Canis lupus familiaris: one gene and its partner. The protein of the gene in region 2 interacts with the protein of the main gene of each other region in a pairwise test. Links are inferred from orthologs where the notes say so. Each region holds a gene or a part of one and is shown on either strand. Other genes may lie near its edges. The genes, in order: EXOSC5 and PEG10.

What was found.
Region 1: the proteins of PEG10 (region 2) and EXOSC5 interact in binary tests that used the Homo sapiens proteins (3 or more experiments, as listed by UniProt). The link is inferred for Canis lupus familiaris from reciprocal best matches to the Homo sapiens genes PEG10 and EXOSC5.

Annotation. Positions count from the first base shown.
Region 1 is NC_049222.1:113,383,239-113,387,598, reverse strand, and holds the start of EXOSC5 (exosome complex component RRP46), read right to left. Parts: upstream 3,088-4,360; 5' UTR 2,997-3,087; coding exon 2,849-2,996; intron 1-2,848. Other genes in the region: BCKDHA (2-oxoisovalerate dehydrogenase subunit alpha, mitochondrial), read left to right, coding at 3,487-3,594. UniProt on the Homo sapiens protein: Non-catalytic component of the RNA exosome complex which has 3'->5' exoribonuclease activity and participates in a multitude of cellular RNA processing and degradation events.
Region 2 is NC_049235.1:20,084,012-20,087,824, reverse strand, and holds part of PEG10 (retrotransposon-derived protein PEG10), read right to left. Parts: intron 382-3,813; 5' UTR 261-381; coding exon 1-260.

The DNA of each region.
Region 1 (4,360 bases), on a different chromosome or scaffold from region 2:
CTCCTCCCTGACCCCACCACTCCACCAAACAGCTCTTGACAGCATCACAGATGACATAGGTCCGGACTGTCCACCGACAGGTCTGGAGGACGGATGCAGCTGGTGGGCCCTTACATCTCAAACACTTCTCTGAGCCCCTCTGAGGTCAGTGTCCTCTCTGGGTTTTCCTCCCACCTTATTGGCTGCTTTTCTCTGGTCTTTTCCTAGCTCCTCACAGGTTAGACAACCCTGGATTTAGTCTGTGACCTCTTCTCTTTCCACCTACACTTGTTCTCTTTATTTCATCCAATCAATAGTGTGAAACACCATCTATAGCCAGAGAATTCCAAATTATATATTTAGGTTGAGTCTCTCTCTTTTTAAGATTTTATTTACTTATTTGACACAGAGAGAGAGAGAGAGAGCGCGCACAAGGGGGGAGCAGCAGGCAGAGGGAGAGGGAGAAGCAGGCTCCCCACTGAGCAGGGAGCCTGATGCTGGGTGGGATCCTAGACCCTGAGATCATGACCTGAGCTGAAGGCAGATGCTTAACTGACTGAGCCACCCAGGCGCCCCTGGGTCTCTCCTCCCAAATGCAGACTTCTATATCCTATTGCCCTGTCCATATAGTCACTGTGATGTCCACCAGGCACTGCAAACTTAATGTTCCAAATTGAACTCCTTATCTCCCAGTACAGCTGATTTGGAAAAAAAATCTTGGTGTTATCCCTCTCCTTCTCACACTCCAACACTGAACCATCTGCAAGTTTTGTGTTTTACTTTCAACATACATACACCCAGAATCTCACCACCTCCACTGCTTCCACTCTGGTCTGAGCCACCGCATCTCCCCTTCTTTCTCATATCTATACAGTCAACACTGCAGCAGAGAGATTCTGTTAAAATATATCCAGATCATGTCAACCCTCTGAGCAAAACTTGGAAGCAGTGGCCCCCAGCTCATTCATTATGCATCACATGACAAGCAATCCTCCTTAGCTCTCCCCAGCCTCCTCACTGCTCTGGCCACACAGTCTACAGACTATTCCTCAAACACACCAGACAAATCCTTGCCTCAGGGCCTCTGCCCCTGCAGTTCTTCATCCTAGGTATGCTTTTCCTCCTGCTTATCTTCAAGGTTTGCTCCCTTACCTTTAGGTCTTTATTCAAATGTTACCATCTCATCAAGGCCTTTCCTGACTATCCGGTTAAGATCGCAACCCTCTCTGGCACACCCTATTTCCTTTCCCTACTATAATTTTTCTCCATAGGCATCTTCCGACATATTTTTTTTTAAAGATTTTATTTATTTATTCATGAGAGACACAGAGAGAGAGAGAGAGAGAGACAGAGACACAGGCAGAGGGAGAAGCAGGCTCCATGCAGGGAGCCCGATGAGGGACCTGATCCTTGGTCTTGAGGATCACGCCCTGGGCTGAAGGCGGCGCTAAATCGCTGAGCCACCCAGGCTGCCCTCCTACATATTTTTTTTTTAAAGATTTATTTATTTATTTATTTATTCATGATAGACAGAGAGAGAGAGAGAGAGAGAGAGGCAGAGACACAGGCAGAGGGAGAAGCAGGCTCCATGTGAGAGCCTGACGCGGGACTCGATCCCGGGACTCCAAGATTGCACCCTGGGCCAAAGGCAGGCGCCAAACCACCGAACCACCCAGGGATCCCCTTCCTACATATTTTACTTATCTTTTGTCTGTCTCCTCGACTAGAACATAAACTGTTAAGTCAGGGATTTAAAAAAAAATTTTTTTTAAGATTTATTTATTTATTCATGAAAGACAGAGAGAGAGACAGAGAGAGAGAGAGAGAGGCAGACAGAGAAGCAGGCTCCATGCAGGGAGCCGGAGGCAGGAGCCAAACCGTGGAGCCACCCAGGCATCCCTTTAAAATGTATTTTATTGGGATCCCTGGGTGGCGCAGTGGTTTGGCACCTGCCTTTGGCCCAGGGCGCGATCCTGGAGACCCGGGATCGAATCCCACGTCTGGCTCCCAGTGCATGGAGCCTGCTTCTCCCTCTGCCTGTGTCTCTGCCTCTCTCTCTCTCTCTCTGTGTGACTATCATAAATAAGTAAAAATTAATATAAAATAAAATAAAATGTATTTTATCCACGTATTCCCAGGACCCAGGACAGTGCTTAATGCGAATACACGTGTTCAATGAAGGAATGAATGAAAACAGGTTTTGTACCTGGGTAGAAGGTAATGCCCCTAGTGAGGAGGCTGAAGCATTTATGGGGGTGATTCTTAGGCTATCTTCAGAGGAATATTCACCCGGGGCAGGGAGCTGAGATGCATTTGGTCACGGGAAGGAGATATTTTACCCAATAGGGAAAGCCTGCCCCAAACCTAGGGATATTTACACGTATGGAGAGATGTGTATTGCTGTCAAAGGGATATATACCGCACAATCACTCTCAAATACTCTGAAAAGTATTTACCTGGACAAAAAGACATGCCCGCAGTCCAGAGAGTAATGAAGCCGGTAGTGTTGATTTGCGGGTCTATTTACGCGCAAGGGCAGGTTTGCCGCAGCCTGGCGTGCATGGACCCGGGGTGTCCGCGGGGGAGGCGGGAGACGAATTTAATCAAGGGAGATATTTACTCTGCTGAGCGCCTCTCTCCTCGGAGTATTTACCACGGTGGCGATACCGTCTCCCTTCTAGCCGGGAGCGCAGGATACGTTACTCCGGCATATCCGGGAGTATCCTCCCGGGCAAGAACTGCACCACCCGTGCAGGAGGGACACTTACCAGCTAGTGGCACTCCTCTGCACGGTAACCTGTAACCTTCCGAAACAAATACAACGTGGCGAACGTGGCACAGGCAGTATTTGCCTAGGGTAAGTCCTTACCTTGCAGGAAAGAGGCAGAGCCATCCGGCCGGGACAGCAGGTTCTGCTCACAAGCAAAGTGCCGGAGGCTGCAGCCCGGGCCCCGAGGGCCGGACTCTGTTCCAGACTCCGCGCAGGTCTTGGCGTCCGCCGGCAGCGCCCCCTCCATCGCCCCAGACCCCACGTGCCGCTGCGGAACCTCGCTTCCGCACGGGAGCGCGCGCGGGCGTCCAGCCTGCGTGCCCAGTGCGCACGCGCAGGTCCGGGGCGCCAGGACCCGTTCCCGCACGTGGCTCCGCGTTTACTAACAATCTGGCCCCTCCCACTCCCGCCTCGCAAGCCCATTGGAGAGTAGCGAAGAGAGGGCGGGCCTTGGCATGGACTCGTCCTACCCGAAGCCCCCGCGCCCTAAAGCCCTAAGGCTCTGGTCAGGTTGTCCTCTCCTTTGCCTGTTACAGAAACAACTAAGATGAGGTGATGAGAGTAATTTTGGCAAGCTAGATTGTTTGTTCCTCCCGTACCCGTGCCCTGGAGACTGCAGGGTGGGTCGCTGGTGGTTTCTTGGCAGGGCGGTGCTAGCATTTGAGTCAGGCTCCTGAAGGGGCAGCCCCCAGTCTAGCCGAGGAGAGGGGCGGAGCTCTGAGGGGTTGTGAGCCAAGATGGCGGTGGCGGCGGCGGCAGCGAGGGTCTGGGGCTCGAGTCGAGGTTTGGGCCAGGCTGGTCTCCTGCTCCTGCGCCGGCCTTGGGCTCGGGGGCTGGCTAGATCTGTGAGTACCTGGGGAGTTTTTCCCGAGGGAGAATAGGGATGTCAACGCCGTCTTCCGACGTGGGGTTCGTGCAGGGAGTGAGCGAAGGGCTGTCACAGAGGGGACCGGGGCTGAGAGAGCTGCTCCGTGAGGACATTCGGGAAGAACTTCCACTCCCTCAGGAGAGGAGAAGTGAGGCAGCCTCCTCTGTGGGCCCGGAGAGAGGGAGACAACTTGGAGAGAGAGAAGGGGTTCCGCTTTAGTTGCCACTCATGCCCACGGGAGGCCGCGTGGAGGGACACGGTGGGACGGCGAGACATTGCCCCGCAGGCGTTGGAGACTGCGACTGCCCGAGGCTGAGGCTTCCGGGTGTGGCTCCCCCTCAGGAAGGAGAAAAGAGAGATCAGCTTCTCCGACGCGGGCTTTTATAGTGCGCTGCGTTTGTTTTACTATTGTTCTTTTTTTTTTTTTTTTTTTTTTTGAGATTTTATTTATTCATGAGACCCAGAGAGAGGCTGAGGGAGAAGCAGGCTCCCTGCAGGGAGCCTGATGGGGGACTCGATCCCAGGACCCCAGGATCAGGACCTGGGCGGAAGGCAGACGCTCAACCACTGAGCCACCTGGTCATCCCACCCACATTTCTGGGTAACACTTGAGAGATGCCTCAATTCTTATCAAAAGTGTCAGAATTCCCTTGGGTTGATGCTGCAAACTGTAAGTTCACACAGCGGAAGTCTAACTTAGAAGCTCGTTCAGTGGGAGAGAGGCCTTGGGCTGCGGAACCATG
Region 2 (3,813 bases):
GTGTTCTCCTCTGTGAGCTTCTGCACCTGGTTCTGCAGGTTGTTGTTCTCCTCGGACTGCTTCATGACCTTCTCTCGGAGGTTGTTGATCTCTTCAGAGAGATCGTCTCGCCTTCGTTCGGCCAGGTTGGGGATGTACTGGCCCCTTGGGGCGCTGCGTGAGGATGAAGAAGAGGAAGAGGAGGAGGAGCAGGAGGAAGAGGAGGAGGAGGGGCCGTTGGGGGGAGGAGGAGGAGGAGGAGGTGGGCAGTCGGGCCCCAGGGTGAGGGTTGGCGTGGGAGGAGACCTCCCAGGTGTAGCTTCGCTCCTGTGGGGATGGAGGCCCTGATCCTGGCCTCCTCTTCCACCCTTTCTTCGTTTTGTTTTCAAAAGCTTTTTGTTTCTGTAAAGGAAGATAAAAGCAGAAGTTTATCATCCACGTTCAAAGCAGCACACTACAAAAAAGATTTTAGCATCTAAAGTAGCCACTAAAGTACCTTAAATACGTGAGTATTTAAAGTAGCCATTAAAATACTTTAAATACATGAGTATTTAAAGTATCCACTAAAATACTTTAAATACATGAGTATTTAAAGTATCTCTTTGCTCTACTTGCTTACATTAATATTTAATAAACAAACACAGATCTTGCAAAAGGGAGAAACAAGTTAATAATCAATTAAGACAATAGGTAGTAACAAAAAGCACCCTACTTTTTAACGTCCAAATGACCTTTTTCCTCATCAAATGTCACCTATTATGATTCAACAACAATGCATACCGGTATCAACAGCAAGTTTACCTTCACTGACCGTAAAAGAATGCGGAGACATTCCAAAATACCAGTTTGGATCAGGAGGGCACAGCAAGAAACTTTCAAGTCAAAGATGGAGACCAAATTAAAAACACAAAGCCAAAATGATAATTGTTATTAGACGGGTTACCTGAAAAAGAGCTAATAATCCAGCCAATAGGGAACCAAAAAGAAGGGTGGGGGATTTAAATCACACTGCCTGTATTCATCAGCCGGGGGAGGGAAGAGGGCACTACCTCCATGGTGAAGGTCACTAACTGATTATCAAAACAAACAACAACAACAACAACAACGGTCACGAAACCCACAAGATTGTCTAAATCCAACATAATCTGATTTCCCAGAGAGAATTCCCTTCGGGACAGAAGTGGCACCGAGCAGCAACGTTGTGTATCAGCCTCTCTCCTTATTATGCAGTTCATCAACAAATGTTAATTGATGCCTCCTAGGAAGAGCTAGGCTATTAAATGGGACAGTCAAAAAAGCCCAAAAAGAGAATACCTCAAATTTACAGTATGGATTTAATTAGGTAATGCAGGTAAAGCAGTGAATACTTAACAACTGTTAGCTGATATTAATAAGAAAGGTAACTTTCTGTGTAAAGAGGCTAAGATTAAAACAGGGAGGGCCTGCAACTATGGCAACCTAGGCAGGCATTTCCCACCTAAAGACATTACTTTTTTTGGGGGGGGGGGGAGGGGGGAATACGCTGTTGGCCAAACAAATCCAGGGCCTCATTTGATTTGCAGGTCACCAGTTTCCAACTTCTGGTTTTTAAACAAGATTTGTCAGCACAGTCCCACCCAAAAGTTTATAATTTAGAGCAGGATAGGGCTGTACTCCTAGGTGGTGAGTAGCAACATGGGGGGCATTGGGGGTTTGGGGGATTAAGGTCTTAATTATGGGTATGGTGACAATAAATCACACATACAATAAATCCAGCAGTGTTTATGTACTTCCTAAAATGAGGGTTAAATGCATTTATAGTAACTTAATTTTAACTTTTTATAATTTTTAAATGAGCATTAAGTTCTCATATTTGGAAAACTTTAGGAAAGCGCTCAAAAGTTTAAAACCATAATTTGTAAAAGCAGGCAGACTGCCCATTCACTAAATTTTAACTTGGCATTCCTGGTCACCTGTTCTTCTCTGACCCATCAAGGCAATAATGGACACTAAATTAATTATATTAATTAAAGCCCACAAAGATAAATGTGTTATTCAAAGAAGTTATGTGAAAAATAGCTAATATTTCAATCAATAGGGTACAAGAAAAAAAAATGAGGCCCTGGATTAGTCACAAAATAGTGTGATTTTGATTTATTAAATTAAAATCTTTATTTTTTTAAATTAAAAGCTTTAATGTCCCATTAAAAAACAATAAACACAAGTCAGGTGACTCAAGTGCCACTTCTGTATCTAGACATTAATACTTAGAAAACTTAGAAAACTTCTGGAAAGGCCTTCATAGCTCGGCCTGGCGTTGCCTGACCCAGGTCAGGAAGGTTAACAACCCACATGTCAATCACAGTCATTGGGGGGAGCTTTACTGAGGTTCCAGTCTCATGGTTTTAATATCTGCAAAACATAATAATAGGACAGATATAACAACACATTCAGAAATCAGCAAACAATCATTGTATATTGTTTAAGGAATCAAAAGATCAATAAGGGCTTAAAATGCAAATGATTTTAGTAGACAGGAAGGTAACATAAAAGTGAGAAGAAACTGGAGTTAAGACAATAAGGAGTGGGCTGGTGACTATGTAATTTAGGGATGCATGTCCCCTCCCCAGAAACATTCAATTCTTTAAAATATTTTTAATCCAGTGCTGGTCAAATAAATTAAGGGCCTTATTTGACTTGCAAGGTCACCAGTGTGAGACCCCTGACCTTTACCAAGATCAGGCATCAGGTACCCACCCCTGGGATTTTTAATTTTGGTGTGGGATTCTAAATCCTAAAGGAGATAACTGCCCAGAGAAGAGTAGTGTAACCTTTAAAAAACATAGGATAGTCGGCAGGCAGGTTAACATTCAATGTAAATAAAGCTTAAAGATATTTAAATAGCAACTAGAGCACCAGTTAATTTGGGAACAGGAGCACTGTGACTTGATTTGCACCTCCCACCCCTTACTAGGGGCTGGATTGTGGAGGTCAGGCCCAAAGGCCCCATTCCTAAAACCTGAAATGACACACAGTACTGAGCCAAGTCACATGGGATAGATGTCACCTTTACACATGAAAAAGAATCCAGTGTTAGTCTATATAGGAATTAAATACATTTGATTGACCTTTGACTCTTCTTGAAGACTTCTAAAAACTTGTTCCCCAAACACACCAAAAAGTAACAGTAGCCAAAAAACACTGCACATTAAACATCTCATTAGAAAATGACACTTCATTAAGCAACTCTTAATTGCTTTATATTTTCAAATGTCCCAATTTCTTTTTTAGTACCATGTATACTATTTGTGAAATGCAAATTATATTAATATGCATATTTTTACCATTGTTTTGAACTTTAAAAAAAACATAGAATTTCGAAAGGAAGTGGGGGTAGGGTGACGGGGGGGGGGGGGGGGGGGGGGGGCTGGGGATTAACTGAAAGCTGTAATTACCACAAGTATAAATACATAAAGATATGTAAATTGCATATTTATTAGGGGGTGGGTGACAGATATTTGGGAGTCAGAGTCCTGGCTTATGGCTTACAATATATGAAACCAGGTTTTAAAATTTCTTCATTTTATTAGAAACATAAACATGGTACATCTGACTGGAGGTAAGGCATCAGATGTTTTATGTGTATGTTTTATAATGCCAGCTAAAACCCTCCAATCTATTTTTTAATGTAACCACTTTATGTTACATTATACAAAATGTAAATATGACAATTATGTACCATTGTGAAGTAGTCCACTCACCCTGAATTTAAATAGCCAATTAGCTTGTTTTTACTTTTAAAAAGCTATTTTGAATATCTTAAATATGTATAGTTTTGTATTATAATTACAGCTT